Lepisosteus oculatus: one gene and its partner. The protein of the gene in region 1 purifies or fractionates together with the protein of each later gene. This does not show direct contact. Links are inferred from orthologs where the notes say so. Each region holds a gene or a part of one and is shown on either strand. Other genes may lie near its edges.

Region 1 (9,753 bases):
CTTGGCTCTTTTCAAAACACACAAGGAAATGCCTTATGTATGAGGTCTGAATGTATGGTTTACTTGACTGTCATTTCTTAGGAATTCACCAAGTAATTTTTGCACAATTTTCCAAGCAAATACTTCTTCCAAAAGCAATGCAAGCTTCTGGCAATACCATCTTTAGCTCTGATACAGTATCTGGAACCCAGAAAAGGATTTAAGGACAAGTCTGCAATATAAATAATTTCACAAGTCTGTAACTGCTGAAAATTGCATGTTACATGCATTAAACATTAAATCATTCTGTAGTCATTTATTATAGTTATACAGTAAATAAAAAAACGTATTTGACATCTCCTTCCTCTAATTGAAAATCTCTCAATGTAAGCACTGTCAATAGATTATCCCAATAACTCTGGCAGTGAATCTCTGATTAAAATAAAAGTCAATTTTAGTTCTTAGATATGTGAACTTATGATTGAATGTTCAGGTTCACAACTTAACCCTGAACACATTGTGTTCCTATCTTTAATAGTAAAATGTATGAATCAAGTACTTGGTGAAACAGAAATTTGAATTGTGTTTGCACATGGAAGTACATAAAATCTACTATAACAGTCAAGTCCAATAATTTTGCAGCATTGTGATATAATTGGATGCTGCTTATAGTGTAGTTTCCTTGCACTGTTTTTCATGCTTTTTAATTTTGTGTATTTATAAAATATAGCTACTTTGATGCAAGACAAAGTTCAGAGAAATCAGACAAAGTACTATGATTTAATTAACTCAAAAGCACAAAAGGTTTTTTAGACAGGAAGGCTTGGTGAATTCTATAACCATATTACAATTTTTAGTTTAAAAAGTCACACAACTACATGAATGGCCTATTCAGTAATAATCGTAGTCCATATAATTTAACAATAAATATTACTGTCTCTATAAGGACCTGCATTCAGGTAGTGCATCTGAGGCAAAGATTCAACTATCAAGCCTAAGTAGCTTTCAAAACAACTACAGATCAGAAGAAGGATATAAAAACACTGGAAAAACTCTTAATATCTCTTTGAGCACGGTGAAGTCATTCATTAAGAAGTGACAAATACACAGTACTCTGCCCCAGGCTTCCTGTCCAAACTGAGTCAAACAACAGCACCTTTGAAAGAGCTACAGAGTTCAATGACTGAGACAGCAGAAAATGTCAATGTGTCAACAACCTCCTAGTCACTCCACAAAGCTGGTCTTTAGGGCAAAGTGGCAACCCATCTCAAGTCATGGGGTGTACAACAAAGTGTTTAAGTAATATTGCAAACACGAGGCAAAAGGTTTTGTGGTCGGACAAGGTAAAATATAGGCTCTTTGTTCTAAATGCAAAAGCTCTACACATGGCATGAATCCAGCACAGGATGTCACCCAGTCAGCACCGTTTCTACTGTAAGGCATGGTGGTGGCAGCATTATGATATGGGGGGGCTGTTTCTCATCAGTAGGGCCTGGGAACCTGTCAAGATTTTGTTTTTGCGGGTTTTATTGACAAAACGTCTTTCACTCATAGACAAGTTCAGTAGGTGAATACTTCAGCATGGCACAGTATGTGGCTGGAACTTGCATCGGAGACTCAAGTTCTTGAGTTATGAAATGTGATGTAACCAACACAACCCAGTGCTCTGCAAATTTCCCTCAGTGCCTTCCTACTCGTTTGTTTTCTTTGGCGGTGCATATTGAAAAGGCAATGCTTCAAGCATCTCTTTCCCTGGAAACCTGATTCTAAATGCTTTAATGAAAATCCCCGCCATTAAAGCTAAAACGAGAAAGAATCAACAATGTCCAAATTCAAATACTTGAAAAAAATGTATTGCCACCTTTCTTAACCAAGGAGATTGATTCTGTATTACTGCAGCATGGATGTCCAAGTGTTGTTAGGAGATGGAAAAGTATGTTTCTATAGTCACCTCCCTTCATTACCTCAAGGTTTTGTGACAAAAACCTTTATTACTTAAATACACACATTTCTCCTTCTGACATAACTACTGTATTTTAAACTGATATAAATGATCAAACACTTCAGTACTCTAATAGGAAGGTGTCGCTTTACAGGAGACAGAAATGTTTAAACAACTGGCAAATGAAATTCAGAACTGCAACAGGCTTTCCTAATCCTAAAGACAGGTAAAAGCTTCCATTCATGAGGTTCAAACAGGGTAAAATTGTTTGAAACCTCTTTGAAATTAATCGGCTTGAATTTCTTTACGGCTATTTTACAAGCTCCCAACCCTCTGAAATGTTTCAATAATAATGTTGCGAGGGTGTACAGTAACTGAAACCGCTTTGTAGCTGTGATAGGGCAGTTACTCCGATACTCGAAAGTACTTTTAAACAGTAACTAGACTTCAGTCTCTGCCTCTTGAAGCTTATAACCACTAGCAGTTTAAGTGCTGCTTTTTTCTTGTTAGCTAAAACAAATATCATGAATTGTTTACAACGGATCTGTTAACTTCCTAAAGAAAATGACTCGCTATATTAAAAAAGACCTACTTTGTAAAATATTCTTCACAGAAAAACAAACGCTCCAAATGATGCTCTGTGGTTAAACACTGTTCTGAATGGGTATTGTAAAGTAGAAGATACTGCTAGAAAACAAGTGCACTTTCAAAATGTTACTCTTCACTTTACATACCAGAATTGTCTGAAAAAATTATATCATTCAGCAGGGTGATGTTTTATCATATTTGGATGTACTACAACAAGGAAGATACCGGTATTAAGAATTTGCTACACAACTAAGCGATATAATATGAAGTAGTGCTTTGGAAATCCATGTGTGTGTGACATAAACCAAACTGTAGGTATTTAGCCGATAGCCGACTGCTACTTGTAATAACTTCCCCATGAAACTCATTGCTGTCCCGATGTTATGTCGCCAGAAACAGCACACTGGAGTGTTACGTGATCGCACCAGTAGACATATTTTAAAAAAAACTAAAATAAGGAATTCAGAACAAATCACTGCTACTTATTCCCCCCTCTGCAACCTTACAAACCTGGGCGAACAATGATAAATGGCAGGGTTTTGGAGTCGCAATTCAGTGTCTGTGTAACTCAGTATTCCTGGAATACTAACCAGTGTCTTTACAGATGCAGTTTCCCTCCCTATCCTCCAGGGCCTGGTGTATTCAGGAAGCCTGGGGCTGGATTTGAAGCTTTTTAGCTTGTTTTGTTTTTATCTATTCCACATGAAGTATTCCCAACTTAAACCATAAAAATAGTGTGAGCATTAAAACGTATTTATTTCTGCGCATTTCGTTTTCAAAACATATGTGCAAATACACGCACCCTTTGATTTCGGCTGGTCCCTAACCAATCTACCTCCACTGTAAACTGCGCTTGAACAAAGCGATAAATAAGCTCACTGCATTTAAAAATATATTGACCATGAATAAAGTACTCGCGGTCGTATTAGGAAACTGATTTTTGCCAAATAAAACCACGTAACCAGCTTAAAGTTTGAAATCTGCAATTTGAAGGTTTACCAGTAATAGACAACGTTCAAACATGGCTTTTAAAAAGTATTAAATTAACGGTAGCTTTCAGAAAAATCTAAATCGTTGCTTAAAATACATTTTACCAAACTCGCCAGTGCGCCAATCAAAGAAAAACTGTCCCTTTAAATAACGTTCAAGTAAGGAACTTTTGCGGGTTTACAACAGCCGGGTCCCGCCGCACTTAAAACACAAAAAAAATATACAAAACTGTTAAATCTGACTACTACGCTACAACCCAGACTAACCCTGAAGTCGCTTCTTTCTCAATCAGCGCCCGTCTATCTCTACAAATTAATCAATAGACCTTTAGGATTTCCCTTCCTTCTCTTTTTTCTCCCAGAAAAGCGCCATATTGAGCTTGCCGCACCATTCCTTGGGTTACAACATTGTTTCCAATGGGGAATTTTTTAAAGCACCAAAGCACAATACGAAGTAAAGAAAACTTACCTTCGCAATAGCTTTTTTGTATCTCATCACGGCTTGTTGAATAAGGCTGTGAACTTTAATATTTCCATCGCCACACGGAACCACCACCCTGGTCCTTCCAAAACACACTGTCACTTTCATAGTTACCGATATTTTCCACAAATCCCAAATCCAGAAGAAAAATAAAGGTGTAGTTTTCGTATGTAAAACCCTCCTTGGGACGTATTTCCTTTGGACTTGCAAAAAGTAGATCCAAAAGAGAGAGAAACGCGAAGCTTTTCACCTTTTCTCCATGGTCGCTTTTTTAAGATGTGTGTTTCTGACCACCTGTTTAATGTTTCTGCGATCCTACTCTGATGTGCTGGCTAAACTGAAGCAGAAAAGAACTGAACTGGGAAACCATCTCCCCACCCTGGTCACTGCGAGTATTGAAGCTCTTGAAACTTCACAAGCAACCTCATTTCACATACTGTATACTGTAAGTCTCGGGAGTGTCGTTGCCCCCTCCTCTTTAATAAAGATGATAGGTAAAATATGTTATCAGTTTATACACAAGTACAGAACTCAAGTGGCTTATAAACTATATTTGCTCTTAAAACTGTGATTACTATGCTAAGCATCCCTTTAAAACTGTTGATATATCACTCCAAATGAGTTAATCAGCTAACACGAAAATGCAATCTTTTTGTACACTTAATGCCGATTATTATTTGGATTTAACTAATCTAATTTCTTAATTTATGTATATGTAACTAAAACTTGTTTTGTTTAGCTTTAAACCAACTGAGCAGACATGAACAGAACATTTTTAGTTTTCTGACGTGAACATAGCCCGTTGAATATATCTGCATAAAAGTAATGCAATAAGCCACTAAAGCTGTTACACTGTAGCTTACCGCGAAATATTATCATTTATCAGGACTGCAAAGTCTGCGAGTCGCGTTGGGTTACAATGTACTGTATAACGCTTGAAAACCTAAAAGCTAGCGCAAGGAACTGTTTTTTAACTGTCACAGATGTACATTATTAATTATTATTATTATTATTATTATTATTATTATTATTGAGCGCAGATGTCTTGTTCTACACGGAGCAGCGGTTGGCGTATTAGTATTAACCTATTGGCGACAAACCTGTTCGAGCAGAGGAAATGGTGGACAACTATCAATTTTTTGTTCAGCAAGTTAAAATTAGGTCTCTCTGTGCAACAGCAGACCCACCAACATATAATAAACAGTTTTTTTTTTCAGCACAGGCTTTCAGTCTCAATTTGGTAAAAACATTATATGGAAATGCAATTGATATTCATCAATCTCAATCACGCCAGCGGTTGCATTCCTGGTTTTTGAGGGCCGCTAGTTTCCTTCCACCTGACACTTCACGTGCTTAATTGAGTTAATTAGCGACTACATCACTGGATATGCTTACGAAAGTAGTCATTTTTTAAACAAGTTTTAAACACACAAAAGCTTTCCACAACCTCAGCCCTCGAGGGGCAGTATTGCTCATTACGAATACAAACGTGCAAAACTAATCGATGTCAAAACGCACACACAGCGCCAAACCTACAGTAACTAGCAGCTATTTAACTGTTCATCGTTTTCACGCATAGTCGTTTTTGACCAGACTGAATCCCTGCACCCCTGTGGATTCAGTCTCTGGGGAAATCAATTGGGTAAAAGTATTTACAAAACTTAAATAATATGATTTTTAAAATCTGTTTCTTTGATAAAGCAATCGTAAAGTATATTTAAAAACTCTAGATAACCCAACAGAATTGAAACTGTTTCAATTGGAAGTGCCATGAACGGTGTTATTGAGTCATATAATGTGCTAAAACTATTTCATACTGTCTTTCAGGTGTTGTAGTTATATTTAGTGTGGTTAATAAGCTGTGAAAAGCTTGTGATATATGGATTCTTTGAGATAAACGGTGTAACTCAATGACACAATGGAAGGTACAAATGATATAAGACATTTGATGAAGATGAAGTTGTACATTTAGCTGATCGATCTTCAACTTATTCAACATACCTAATTTTCTAGTCACTGATGCTGCTTCTCCTGCATCCCCTGGTTGAAATACACTCATCTACAGTATGTGTCGCATTAAAATAAGGTAACAAAATTCAGACGAACAGAAGCCTTCACTTTGTCGGCAAAGGTTTTAGCATTTCCACAGGTAAACTAACGTGCAGAAACCACACAGTTGACGAAACTTTTAGAATTAGGCAATATTTTCACCCCATAAAAAATGTAAGAATTTATAGAAATAATAAAATATTAAATAAAATATAACATTTATTTATATTAATACTATAATAAATTAAATGCTTGACTTGATAAATTCAAAATTGAGTTCTCACAGGATGACTGCCAGCATTTCTGGTATTGTTTTTGCCTCCAAGCTGTATGCACAAGAGTACAATTGCAGTTATTTTTCTTATTGGATTTGTACATGCATTTTGCTATTTAAATTCTGTCTTAAGGTCCAATTCCACGTTGCAACCTTATTGGAGTATTTCTTTTTTATATTCTGCCTTTTCCACAATGGAAAATCAATTTGCTCCTAACTAACATTGTTTTCAGCTAAACTGTGCCAGCAGGAGGAGATGGGCTTTTTTCAATGACGGTGGATGTCACTTTAATTCAAATCTGAATATCTGTGCTCGTCAGCATTAAAGCAGAACACATTTTAAACATTTCCTCGTTTAAGACTACGCAACAAAAAAATCCCTTTTCAACCTATCAAGTACATATTGTACTTAAGTGTCCTTCAAGTATTTATTGCCACACTGTTCTTTGCAATCTATCTTCAAGGGCACTGGAAAATAAGAACGATGACCAAAACTTCACGTTATCAAGACATGATAGAAATGCTTTATAAAGTTGAACATTGTGCTTCCTTTAGCTTCTTTTGTTCAGTCCCATCGCACAGTGGATCTATTAGAGAAGTGACAAATTCCTCCATCAGCATTACTTCAATAGGAGGTTCATTCACGTTTGATGAGATTGTCCTAGCCCAGAGTGGGATTTAGCCAGGACACCGGGATTAACGGTTTTACTCTTTCAAAAAGTGGTAGGGGATCTTCAGTGACCGACCATGTAATCAGGGCCTTGATTTCACATCTTGTCTGAAGCATAGCACCTGCTACTATGTTGTGGTTGTGACCCCAGTCAAAATACTGCATTGGTTTGGAAATTCAGGTCCAGAGAAAGAGTGTTACCTACTTGTCTGTCGGCACCATTTGGATCTCCTTTGAGGCCTCCCATTCCAGCTGTTCTTGGCTCAGGCTACAAAGTGGTATTGCTTCTGTCAGGATCCCAAAGTGCCTTACACCGACCCATTTAATCTACTAACTAAAGTGCAGCATGCACCTAGGTGACATGTAGCCGTATTATGCATCAGAAGCCCCAGTCACAGGTGTAGAAGGGAGAAATTACCAGTTGAATAAAGGTGGAATTGTGGACAGACCAGAGTGGAATTGTACGCAGGACAGTGAGGTTCTAACACCTGTTCGTATGAGCTTCAGTCTCACCTGAAGGGCAGCATCTCCCACAACACAGTGATCCCCATTCTGGAGCACTGGTTTGGAACATGTGGACCAGAGGGGAGAGTGCCACCTAGTGGTTCTCCGGCACCACTTCCAGTAGCAAGCTGGTTTTTTCTTTGAGGTCTCCTATCCCAATACAGACCAGGCCCAGTCTTGCTTAGGTAATGAGATCTCACAAGATCAGGCTAGAAGCTGGCAATGCTGCCCAAGAGTAAAATTACCTCCATAAAATACATTCACATCCTTAATTATTTAAAGCTGTAACAGAGCAATGTAAAGAGATTCTGGTTTTATCATAGTGAACACAGTTTCAATATACCGTATTATAAAATAAATTTGATAACATTAGGCAAAATGAAGTAATTATTGCTGAGAAACCAAAGTGTAACATTCTCCATAATTATAGTATACTGTAGCTTTAATAGTTCCTCTCCCTGGAGTGATTTAGGACCAGACAGCAAGTTACTGAACCACATAAATAACATCTGGAATCAGAATTTGTATGCTATCATGTGACAGGGAACCTTCCAAATGGCTTAAAATTATCAGGTATAATCATATAGAGAGATGCACTCAGAATTCACAAGAAAAAAAATAAAATCATTGACAGTTGTTAGCTGTGCATGAGGTTCTCTGAATGGAGTTGTAATAGAGAGGTAGAAAGGGTGATTTGGGCACTGGGACAAGTGGGAATAAACAGTAGAAATACTGCATTGATGTGTTAATTGGCACTAATAGTTAACCAGCGGTTGCAAATTACTACCTGAAATGAATCTTTTTGCACTTATTGCACATGCGTACCACCCATACACTCAAAAAAAGTATTTTTCAAACTCAGCAGCTGAGATTTTATGTCACTAGCTAACTGAGCACATACTGTACCATACATAACATTACTCACACTTTAAACAGAGATCAGGTTTGCTGATTGTTTGAGTGGTACCGTTCTTATGCAAAACTAAATCATGTCAAGCAATTCCATAATAACACTAGGGGCAAAGTGTTTAGCATTTGAGTTTGAATTCCCCAAATTTATGAAAGACCTGCATAAACAGACATTCATTTAATTGATGGTAAAACCATGAAAGATACGATTATGTCCTGTTTGAATAATGAAGATCACCTGGTTGCTATTGATCTGCTTGAAGATGACCTATCTGCGAGAGACGTTTTCAAGAGAAAGAGATGCTCCACTTCAACAATCAGCAGACTCCCTCAGAGATACCAGGAGGCCAGGGAACCAGCTCTGTGGGCCAGGCCAAGTCCAGGAAGGTCAGAACACTAGTCCAAGACTGCAGGAACTGCAGAAAATCTTGACTAATTAGTCATCAGTATATTGGATTATCAAAGGTGTTGCTCTCTTGATAAGTGGGGCATATTAGTTTTTTTCTGGTTTTCTTATTGTTCACAAGGCTTGACATTCAACGGATAATTCACATCATCTCCTGGGGCCAGTCAATTCTCATTAATGAGGTTTATGTAGTTTTTATGTAATAGTCAGAGACAAGTGATGGCATCACTGTTAGAAATGAATGATCAGTTAATGAAAAGGCTGTCAAACACATTTCATCACTATCCCAAACTGACATAATTTATTATCTAAGAACATAGATGCATTAATATAAGAAGTTGCTTCTGATGTCTGGGATATGCCAAAAAGATTCTAGTATTATCAAAAACACAATTCAACTTTGTCAGACCTTATGGATATGATGAAAAGTTGATATTGTACTGCCTACAATCTTACCCCTCACAACAGAAATCAAACTTGTCCCCAACACACATTAAGGACGTGCATAACCCTTTGTGTACAAATCTTCCCCTGGCTGTTAGTTGTAAATATTTCCCCCCAGTTTCAACCTGTGCCTTGTGGTTTGTATTTCACAGATGGATCTGTAGTCCAAAAGGCTGACTTTGTCAGGGCCTTTGAAGACTATGGCCAGGGATTTGAACTTGCCTCTACTTGGCCCTATACCAAATGGTTGCATGTCACACATATTTACTTCAAACAACTGACTACTGGCTGGATCAATTAATGGTAACTGAACCTTGAAACTGTCGCAATGGCAAGGGAATTCAGAACAAAATTAACAAATGCTTACAGTTAAAAAAAAGCTGAGGTAAAAGGAATCCACACTTTCTAAGACAAAATAATTGTGAATCATTGCTTAAGATTCTTCTAATATAGCTCGTATTTGTTTTGGACACGTACAGTATATAGTCATCGGACTTAAAACGCAAAGAATGTTAGTA
Region 2 (10,387 bases), on another chromosome or scaffold:
AGAAGGCTCCTGGACTCTTTGGATTAGGAATGTCCTGTGTAGATGCAGAGCGAAACAGCTGTAATGCTGGCTCTCTTCTAAAACAGAGGCATGTGTCAATTTCTGATGGCGTTATGTACGAGGGGAAGTTACACAGATGTGTATTTCCCTTTGAAACTGACAGAACATTCGGAGTAGGCCATGCCAACGTTAAAAGAAGTGTTGAGCAAAAAAGAAAGAAACCTCCTCCTCACATTGATTTTTTGTTTTCCAACGGGGGAAAAATATCAAAGACGAAGATTTTCTGGATTTTGTTTCAACATATGCGATTGCAGCAGGGCTAGGTTGTGGTAACACAGTGGTAACTCATTAGAGCCCAATGCAGATACCCGTCTTGCATTCCTGAGCAAAGCAGTTAAGCCCAGATACCCCAGCCAGTGCACCTCTACAGCACTGCTCAGAGGGTCGCTCGGCAATGGGCTGCTAGTCTCACGTGCAGGAAGAGTTTTCCCATTCTCAATTTGCTAGTACTACAACATCCAGAACAACCTCTGACCCTAGGTCTGCAAAGTCCTTTTTAACTGCTGTTGTCAAAACAATTCTCTTACTGAAAACACATCGACCAAATATTGTTTACAGTGTCTGTGAAAGCACAGATGACCTCATGAACTCTCTCAAGCCCAGTGGTGCTCAAAGGAATATCTGCTGAAGGCACCCACCATCAGCAATCTACACTTAAACTATTAAGGGTCACGTTTTTATAGCAATACACTGAAAGTCAGTTTCAAACTATCTTCAGGAAATATAGATGTATAGATACCAGGACTGAATATGATCAATCAAAGGAGGAATTGAAATAAGGAGATTGAAAAGGTTTACTAAAATGAATAAAACTTCATTTGCTTACTAGTTCCTTATGTCATGAAATAAAAAGTAATAATTCTGTAGACAGATTTCACACACATTACTGTAGTCTTACTATAGTCTACTAACGTTTATCAAGGAGATACACCTCCATCTCTGCAATTGCACTTCATGTCCCAGGTCAGGTCCTGCATTTCTGTAGCTCAAAGGCCTGACTAAAAGCTAACTCTTCCATGCTTAACATTAAACAGATCTTTTGTCCATTCTTGTGTAAAGTTGCCATAATGCCAAATACTACAGATCTTATTGGTAAAGACAACAAGAACAAAATACACCGGTTAAATGAATTCAATGTTAATCTGCCAATACTGGGGTAGATGAAACATGCAGTTTTTCATAATGCTTCATTAATTTTTTTTTATTAAGTTCTGTTTCATGTCCAACTGTGTAATTTTTTATAGTGCAGGAAAATCGCAGGAAAACCTTAAGGTCTCCTAGTTGTGGCAGCTGTTTTTCATAGGGAATAAACAACTGCTTAATTTTGTTTCTCTCTTAAACTGCTTTGAAAACATCTTCAGTGCTGGTTTTGGGGCTGATGCAACAGAGCTACAAATTGTTCAACAAAACAAATGTTTTTTTTTTTACCATACCTCCCACTCGACAGCATAAGAGTGGGACATTATGTGTACTGCATAGTGTGTTTCATCTTAGCTGGAGAAAGTGGTTTTCCTATTACAGATATTATAGATCGAGATGAATTTAGTATATTCTTTGTAATTTTATATGCCTTCAAATATTTTGTGACTAAGTATTTCGATCTGCTGCTAAAGGATGTGTTAGGTGTGGTCACTACTGCATAACGAGCTCAATGGGTCACACCTTTCCCTCAGTGAAGCTTACGACAAAGTGAGTCTTGCCATTCTCCCACTCCTCAGGGTATTTTAGATTTCTCCTGCTGGGTGTATGGATGGAAATGCAGGCTTTATTCTTAAAAGTGAACATGTGTCCTGCATTCACCCACATTACAGAAGGCTATTAATCTAAAAACATCTATTCTGACGCTTCAGTCCAGCTCTGATGCCTTCAGAAGCCTTCGCCTCCATGCTTCTCTTAGAGTATAGTTGAGAGTTATTCTATAACCCAACTAAATACGTTTTTTAAAAGAAATCAACTTCATTTAAGCTGCAGCAGTCATGGGGTCAAAACAGTGCCACCGCTGAGGTCTGAAAGATCGGAATGTCAGAGGCAATAAAATCCTTTTCGTAAACGCGGTTTACATGTTTGTGAATAACCGTAAATCATGGCTATGCATTAATGTTGTGCGATATTATCCAATAATAATCAAATAAAAATAATAACATTTTTTATTTGGTATAGCTCCTATAAATGCATCTTCTCAAAGTGCTTAACAGTAAGAAAAAAAGGGGAGAAGATAACAGAATTAAGACAAGTAAAAATTAGCTTTGGGCCATTGCAAGAGAAAGCCCTGTTACCCCCTGTACGCAGACCAGTATGAGGACAGACAGCAGAGTGGGGTCAGACAAACGAGAACTGCGAGGTGGGGAGTAGGACGATAATAAGTCAGTATATGACTACGCAACACCTACAGTACAATACGATGTTTTATTAAAAAGAATACTTGAATCAAGTGTCAGTCAGCTACTGCGAGTCTACTCCTTTCAGAAATGCACAATTGGAAGCTTCACTTCAGTGCGGTTTGTTCTGTGCTGTTTATCTTGGCAGGCATGTGCTTTTTCTCCACTCCCTATCTGGACAATATCAAGGTCAGCGACTGAGATAAAACCCAAAGGCCCGAGGCAGACGTTCATGACCTCAGGTGAATACAGAGCTGTCCTACAGTGTGCTTTCACCAAGCATCAGTTTATTTCAAAATGTTCTGTTTATGCACAAGAACAAGACATTTTTTGGCAATTTTTATGAATTCAGAAATTCATGCAGACATGTATACAAAGGGGCTTCTTTTTTTACTGTTAGCATTTCATAAGCAGATATGGTCCTGTAAATATTTCAGAAATACTCTGCATTCTTTATTTGAAAAGAAACACTTCTGAAATGTCAGAAATGTACAACAGCACACATGCAGTGACAGTGATTGGGATTGCGAAAGGTCAGAAGAAACTCATCTGACAGGTTTTTCATGATTCAGCACACCATTGTTAGCGCCTTCCAAAATGTAAGGTAAAGTACAACTTCCACATAAAGCTTTCCATCTTACAACTCAACTGACTTACGCAAACCTCAAATTAGCAAACCGTTTAGAAGCACAGATAGATCTTAACAGGTTACAGTATCTCATTAGATGAGTCAAAGACAGAAATCTAAACAAAAAATCAAAAATGGCAAAGAGCAATTATTCAGACTGTGTTTTCTGTGAGAGTAACAGAATACCTGTGGCTCAGGAGGATGACACCTGAAACGGAACAAACCTCTTCATACGGTATGACATCAACAAAATTCTTCACATTCTATAACTACATGCTCGAAAACTCTATTTTTCGGTCCTAATCGCTTGAAAATAATCAGACGTCATTGCACTTCAATGATGGAAGTGTATTCTCTGCTATATATAAAGTGCTCTGGGCACCTCTGGGGTGAAAAGCAATATATACAAATGCAATTAATCCTTTCTCTTACTGCCTTCATTAGAATAACCTCAGTTTACAAACAGGAATTGCTACAGGACTCCACTGTGCCAGGGCTGCCACCTCTCCGCACAAATCTCACTAAACAAAAAGCAAAAACAGACAACTCCATCCACACGTCTTTACTACGGCGCTAGACATCCCCGGCTCTCACTTGAGACACAGTTCACCGAGCTAGTGTGCAAAGATCTCCCTTGATACTTAAGATGTTTTTTTTTTTAAGCTGCAAGAGAAACAAGGTGTGCCAAGGCGTAAAAGGTTACTGCTACTACCGCAGCCGCACAACCTGTCCGTGCGGGTCTCGGGCTCCGCGCAGCTTCACTCTACGGCAGCTCCGTCAGTGGTCATCAACATGCGACACCAACACCTACATTACGCATTATTGAGTAGGTGGCATTCTGTTAGCCTTAAAACACGAGTCCCGTCCAAAGCCAGTGGCTAAGATGAAAAATCGTGTCCTGAAAATGCCCTGATTTCAATTGTTTTCCTTACACGAAACGGCTTCAAATTCTGAATGAAAAGAACAGCGCATCGGTACCATTGTGACCATTCCTCGATGTGTACTCATCGGTTAATCACACAGCATAGTTAAGAACATCGTAGGTGTAAAAACGAGGCTTGTTGCGACTTGACTTTAATATTATTAATGGCGAATGAAGGATACCATACCCAACGAATTTAAACAATAAAGCTCTGAAAAGAGTTCACGATCGTAGCCCTGGGATCGCATTCCTTAAACCAGAACTCTACCAAGTTTGGTCTGTGGGAGAAAACTAAAAAAAGGTTTCTGATCTGCCATATCTTTAAAACATGAATGCCCTCCCTATCAAGTTAGGTCTCCGGTGACGTCCGTCACCTCCAAACATAGGTTACAAACAAGAATGGTAGTTATCCGATCCAAGAAGATTTCACCTGCTAGGTCGCACACCGTGTGGCTAAAACCATTCCTCAAGTAAAACACTCCTCGTTTCTTTTCAGTACAAATTTCAAAACAGCCACCCTAATCCGGACCGATCCAGCCAATATACTGATTTCCACTCACCCCTTATAATAGGCTTTCACCCGCACTTGGTTAGGATTCTCTCCTGGGTGGGACATAGTACTGTCCCGCAACGTAGGCATCATAAGCTCCGGTACCTGGACCCCCGCTTTCACTGAACAAACCACGTCTCGAAATCGATTTCAATGCCTCTCCTCGGTCTTCGCGTGCAAAGTTGTAGTAAAATGACATCAAACTTAAAACATTTCCCCGTTAACGAGTATCAACTTTCGTGGTCTTCCTCTAAAAACACTCCCTACTGCAGAGGCCTCGCAACCGACCGTGCCAACCTCGGCATGTAGGGGGGGGGGGAGGGGGGACACCCTTCACGCGAATGAAGGGATAAAATGAACACAAAAATGATCAACTACAAACGAAAATATTTCATAGTTCAGGCATCTCCTATTTCAGGAGTACACAGAATGCAAATATATAGTTACGCTTTTTACGGTTCACCCCTACTAAGAAAAATGGACGTGCTAGCCGGCATTCCGATTATACCATGCCAAACGTAGGTGGAGCTTAGTTGATCAAACAATAACAAAAGAAATAAAAACTGAACACTCCGCGGCTATATAAAAATCGGTTTATTTTATACTGCATTAGAATGGTTTAACTAACTTATTTTTTCGTGCTGCAACAAATTACACAACAGACAGTTTTATTGCTTGATCATTTTCAAGGATGAAAGACCCAGAACCAAAACATTTCCTTGCCATGTCGCAGAGACAAATACCAGCCGTCGCTCATGGGAAATGTAGTTTTTTACATAAGGAAGCTCATTTGTTATTTCAGGGATCACATTTTTATGGATCATATGAGGTCGAACATTTTCACCGCAACCGCTTTCTGTCGGGGTCCTCATTAATATATATGGCTATTTGTTGCTCGTGTATTATGGATGGCACCGCCATTCTCTTGTCAATAACATCCCGATCTGTTTGCAGAAACGTTCGGTAAATGTCATAACTACAAACCAGAGAAAATAACCACTGTGATTTTTAAATACTCCCCATTTTCGTTTAAGCTTCAGTTTCAGCAGCATTTTTATTTCGTATATCTGATTTTCAGAAATATATCCCATCCGGTACAACTTGTTTAACCACAATCCACGGTTTATTATCCATTGCGGGACAAAAAAAGATTATTTAATTAGCATTAAATGACAATAACGTGTTCAACTAAATGGTTTTCGCATGTGGTGGCTACAGCACCAGAGCTGCCGTTTCACAAAATTCTTAAAAACACGAGTAACTTCAAACATACAGTAGGTACAGTAATATGTTAAAAGTAGTGATAATATTTTTTATTAACCGATAAAGTTCAGCAAACTGGAATTACGGAAGAAAAAAATGGAAAACATGTACACCGTGAACCAATTTTAAAGATGATGAATGTTTATATGTGTTAAAATATGTAATGTATGTGATAATACAAACATCAATATACGGTGTATTCAAGATAATCCCCAGGTTAGCAATGGTTATATATTAATAAAACATGTTTCTTCTTGATTTTCATTCATCACTACATTTACTCGTGGTAACTAATACGTTTTCTCCTATGCCTCAATATAACAGTGAAAAACCGATCGTTTCTGGGTGATCCCCCTAATTTGCAATGATACCGAATCAAAGATTATGCCAAAACAGTGCACGATGTATTTTCTAATTTCTAGTCTCAGGTCTCAGATGGTGAAGCTTTTTGCATGTTTTCATCTGCTCCTCCTGTTTTCTTCTTACTTCTTCCAATGTTAAAGTTCCCCCTGCAAAATATTTACACAATATGGAAATAATTATATTTCTTCATTAGAACAATTAGAATCAAAGCAAAACAAAGCACGACTACTGTGCCATAAAACTTTCTTTAGGACCACTGAGGACCCTTAAACATGGAAGAAGGAAACCCTATTTTCATCCAAGCTAAATACAGTAAAAATAACAAATATGATGTTACTAGAGGATCTTATTTTCTTTTACAAGAAACTCTTTAGTTTAAGACAAGACCTCGGTCGGGTTCTGAGAATAATGTGCTCTACTACGCCCTGTAGTGGTCAATTGCAACACTGCAGATTATATAGCTATTGTTATTACTAATATGAGATGTACTGAATATGTTAACACTGTCTCACCCAAATTGCCTTATATAGCACGTGTGACTGATTTACACAGAGAAGGGGCCTACTTAATCCTCCTCTGAAGCTGAATTAAAAGGGGCATCTTCAGGAAACTCAGATTGCACAATCCAGTCACTGGGATTAACACTCTACCCCTTTGAAAAGAGAAATGGAATCTTAAATGACCAACAAATCTGGACCCTGATTTAGCTTCTCATACAAAGGACATCACCTCCAACAGAAAAGCTCCTCTGGTCACTCCAGGTTTGGAAATTGGTCCAGAAGGGAGATTATTATTATTATTATTATTATTATTATTATTATTATTATTAATAATAATAATAATAATATTAAATACAATGAAGACATACATTTCAGCTGCTTGTGACCGGATTCAGAGAGTACTCACCTACAGCACTTGGGACAAAGGACACATGGCGCACTTTCTTATTAAGTTTGAAATTTTCCAGCGCTGCCAGTTCAACTTCAGCTCCTTTGTCAGCCATCATAAAGAAATGGTGAGAAAAATGTCTAAGTCATTTAGTCTGTTCAGGATCCCCAGTATCAGATGTTTAGACATTTTTTTTAAAAAAAAAGAATAAGAATAAGATATTAACAAATATTTTTTTCTTTTTATGTTGAATGTGTGGATGTTTGTCTCCTATTTATCAAATAACTGACAGTGTTCTTGTTTTTTTCTGCATGTTGCTCCAAGAAAAAGAAATAAAATGTACTTTTCTGTAGTTCATCCCTCTTCTTTGGATTGGGAGGGATCATTGTAAATGCCCCGTAACTGCAACAAACCAAACAAAAATCATCTCTTAGAATTAGATCTTTGGTGGTAAGCAGAATCTAGAGGGGAATATTTTCTGTCACACCTACTAGCATTGAAACACATAGGGATCAATTGGATAATTATGCTCAGAACTATATCAATGATACTATTTTTAAACGACACATTAAACTGATCGGTACACACAGTTCAGATCTCTGTTAGGAATACCTGTTTGTTTTTATTACGGAGAAGGACCTCTTTTACAAACTAACGACGCGACTTGGGGGTTAAAAGAAGAGTAGGATAAACAATTATTTACCTTTGTGTGGCACTTGGAGACTTGTCGTGTTTTTTCTGAGCACGCTGATCGTTCCCACTGCACGTTATAGCTTTAGGCTTTGATGTTACTGCGTTCGGTTTTGTTTTTCTCCCATTTGGGGTCTCATAACTAGCACCTCCGCTGGGGTCACGGGCGTTGCTATGGTTACCTCCGGTACAGCCAGTGGCTCTGTTTCTTTTGGAAGCGCAACAAACCGTCGGTAATTTCGGTTTGGCTTCCGCAGTCCTCAGTTTTACAACCCCGGAGTATGACATGCTGCACCACAAACAAAAAAGGAAAAAAATATCTAAATGCAACGTACCGAAACGTTTTAAATTACTTAGGGAAACTACTACGAGCAGTCACAAGGCTGGAGCTAATGACTTGCCACCACTACCTAACATTCAGATTTTTCTACTTATCACGGCATGAGATTTTTAGTCTTGTAGACGAAAAACAGCTATCCCGTAGAACTAAAGGAGAGTCACAGTTTTAGGCAAATATAGACATAAATACCCAATCCGATTCTAATAGATCTTGACAGGATTGATCCGATTAGAGCTCGGGTTACATCTGCAAAGAACTCTGGGAGCTGTAGTCAGTGCCGTGTAATTCTCTTGACCAGCTCTGATGTTGTTTACTGTCTCAGCTGCAGCACCTTATTCTAAGAGTTAAATTGCCTAATCTTAATGGTATCCAACAGATACCAATGATCATTTTGAAACATTCGTAGGGTTTTAGAAACGATTGTGGAAGTAAAATGATTGCCATTTATGAAGACGAAATGTTCTTATTTCAGAAGTTGTCACATAACCCTAGGACGAAAACTAAAAGGGAAGCAAAAGGGGGAAAACTATGTGGTTACATTTGTACAAAGGTGAAATGTGCTGGTGAAATAGTTTAAAGTGTACGTAAAAAAGGCCTGTTGTATGTCATGTGCTCGTTTGTGCATGGACACATTGCTGTACAAAACATTTATACATTTGAGGGGTAATCGGTAAGGTACATCATAAAAGGTGTGTCCTGGGGTTGAGTAAAAGACTTTTGATATCCGAAAATAGCGATATAAATAGTCCTTTCATTTTCATATTTATTTGCTGGAGAAATATGATGGAGATTTGTTGCAGAAATCGCCGGCGAGAGAAATCAGAAAATAGGTATATCCATTTATACGATAGCAAACAATCATCCTCTTCTTGACGATACTGGAGATAACACTTTGCAATGAAACATGTTTGTCGACTTGCATTACTCTAGAAATGCATTTAAATCTATAGATTTTGTTATATCAATTCCAAACTGACTCAAACTGATATTCACACAATTCAAAGAAACGCCAGACACCCAGAGAGGCATATATCGTACGCTCCCCCAGGTGGGCGACCGTTAAATACTATGCGAATGGTATTTTACAGTTTGCGAGTACTTTCTGTCAAAGGTGGGCGACATAACAGAAGCTTTACTGTCGGGTATTAACTGTCAATACATGAGGCAGAGAGAGCGAGAGAGCTGGGTAGAGGGAGGGAAGGAAAGAGAAAGAGAGGGAGAGAAGGAGAAAGGTGTTCTGCACGCCTGTTCTGTAAATACAGTAAAGACTTCACAAAAGAAATCTGAAAAGTGTCTGGTTGTGTAAGGTCCTCCTACACTGCAAGTGGTGCTGTATCTATTTTTCCTTTCTGTCTGTACGTAGCTTTTTGTTTTTATCTCCATTTTAGGGAGCATTGACGCATTAAGACATGACTGGGACTGTAGCAGTCTGAATCTGTGGTACGGTCACTTCGAGATGGGTTATGCCTAATGTTAATTCCAGGCAGGTAAATAGATTACGAGAACAACTTAAATTCGTGCATGTATGAGATGCGTAGCCGTTTGAAGAGGAACGGTTATGCAATGACAAATAATTATCTTTCTGTAGCTTATAACTGTAGTATGTGAATGGATATGAAAAGAGGAAAACGCTGTTTACGGCATACCTGCGTATTTCTTTGAGAAACAGCCGCGATTGCACCTTCAGTTGACATGTTCATTAGAGTAGCAGTAAGTGAACGAGATGCCTATATATGCTAGTAAACAGAGCAATCCGCCTCACTTACGCCCTTATAGTAAGATGGAAAACAAAGCTTCATAAAATAATAAAGTAATTCCTACTACTAAAGCTGTGCGTGTTTTAGGAGCTTTTTTTGTGTGTGGAGATTTTGGAGAAGCGGTCTGTGTCCATTGTAATATGTCAATGTTTGACATTAAAAATGGGAGTTTGTAAAGGCGGACGACTTTTCTGTGAGGTGGTCGTTTTCTGTTTTATTTACCGTTTTTAGATCTATTCTGTATCGTGTTATTTTTCCGGTCCATGGTAATATATCGCTATTGTTTTCAGAACAACACACAGTATAGCTAAGTATTTCGTTTGCTTTTGGGAAGCTTATGGTGTTGTGCATTATTTTGCAGTTTTTTATCGGCTTTTGACACATTCGGGTTACGGTAATCACTTAAGTGATTGGTTGATTGATATTCATATAAAAGACGCATGACTAATACGGAGTGTTTTCTTAATCTAGACTCGAGGTCTAACTACCATATGTTTCAGATTTGTTTTTTCAGGCTGTTAACCTTTATTCTGTATTACTCTGGGAAC

The links. Proteins that work in one complex are often made in the same cells at the same time.
Region 2: the proteins of pard3aa (region 1) and prkci purify together in Homo sapiens (affinity purification with western blotting; 5 studies listed by BioGRID and IntAct, with this or other methods). This does not show direct contact. The link is inferred for Lepisosteus oculatus from reciprocal best matches to the Homo sapiens genes PARD3 and PRKCI.

What each region holds. Positions count from the first base shown.
Region 1 is NC_090701.1:38,416,269-38,426,021, reverse strand, and holds the start of pard3aa (partitioning defective 3 homolog), read right to left. Parts: upstream 4,338-9,753; 5' UTR 4,088-4,337; coding exon 3,968-4,087; intron 1-3,967. UniProt on the Homo sapiens protein: Adapter protein involved in asymmetrical cell division and cell polarization processes. Seems to play a central role in the formation of epithelial tight junctions. Targets the phosphatase PTEN to cell junctions.
Region 2 is NC_090708.1:13,868,986-13,879,372, forward strand, and holds the start of prkci (protein kinase C iota type), read right to left. Parts: upstream 4,970-10,387; 5' UTR 4,632-4,969; coding exon 4,549-4,631; intron 1-4,548.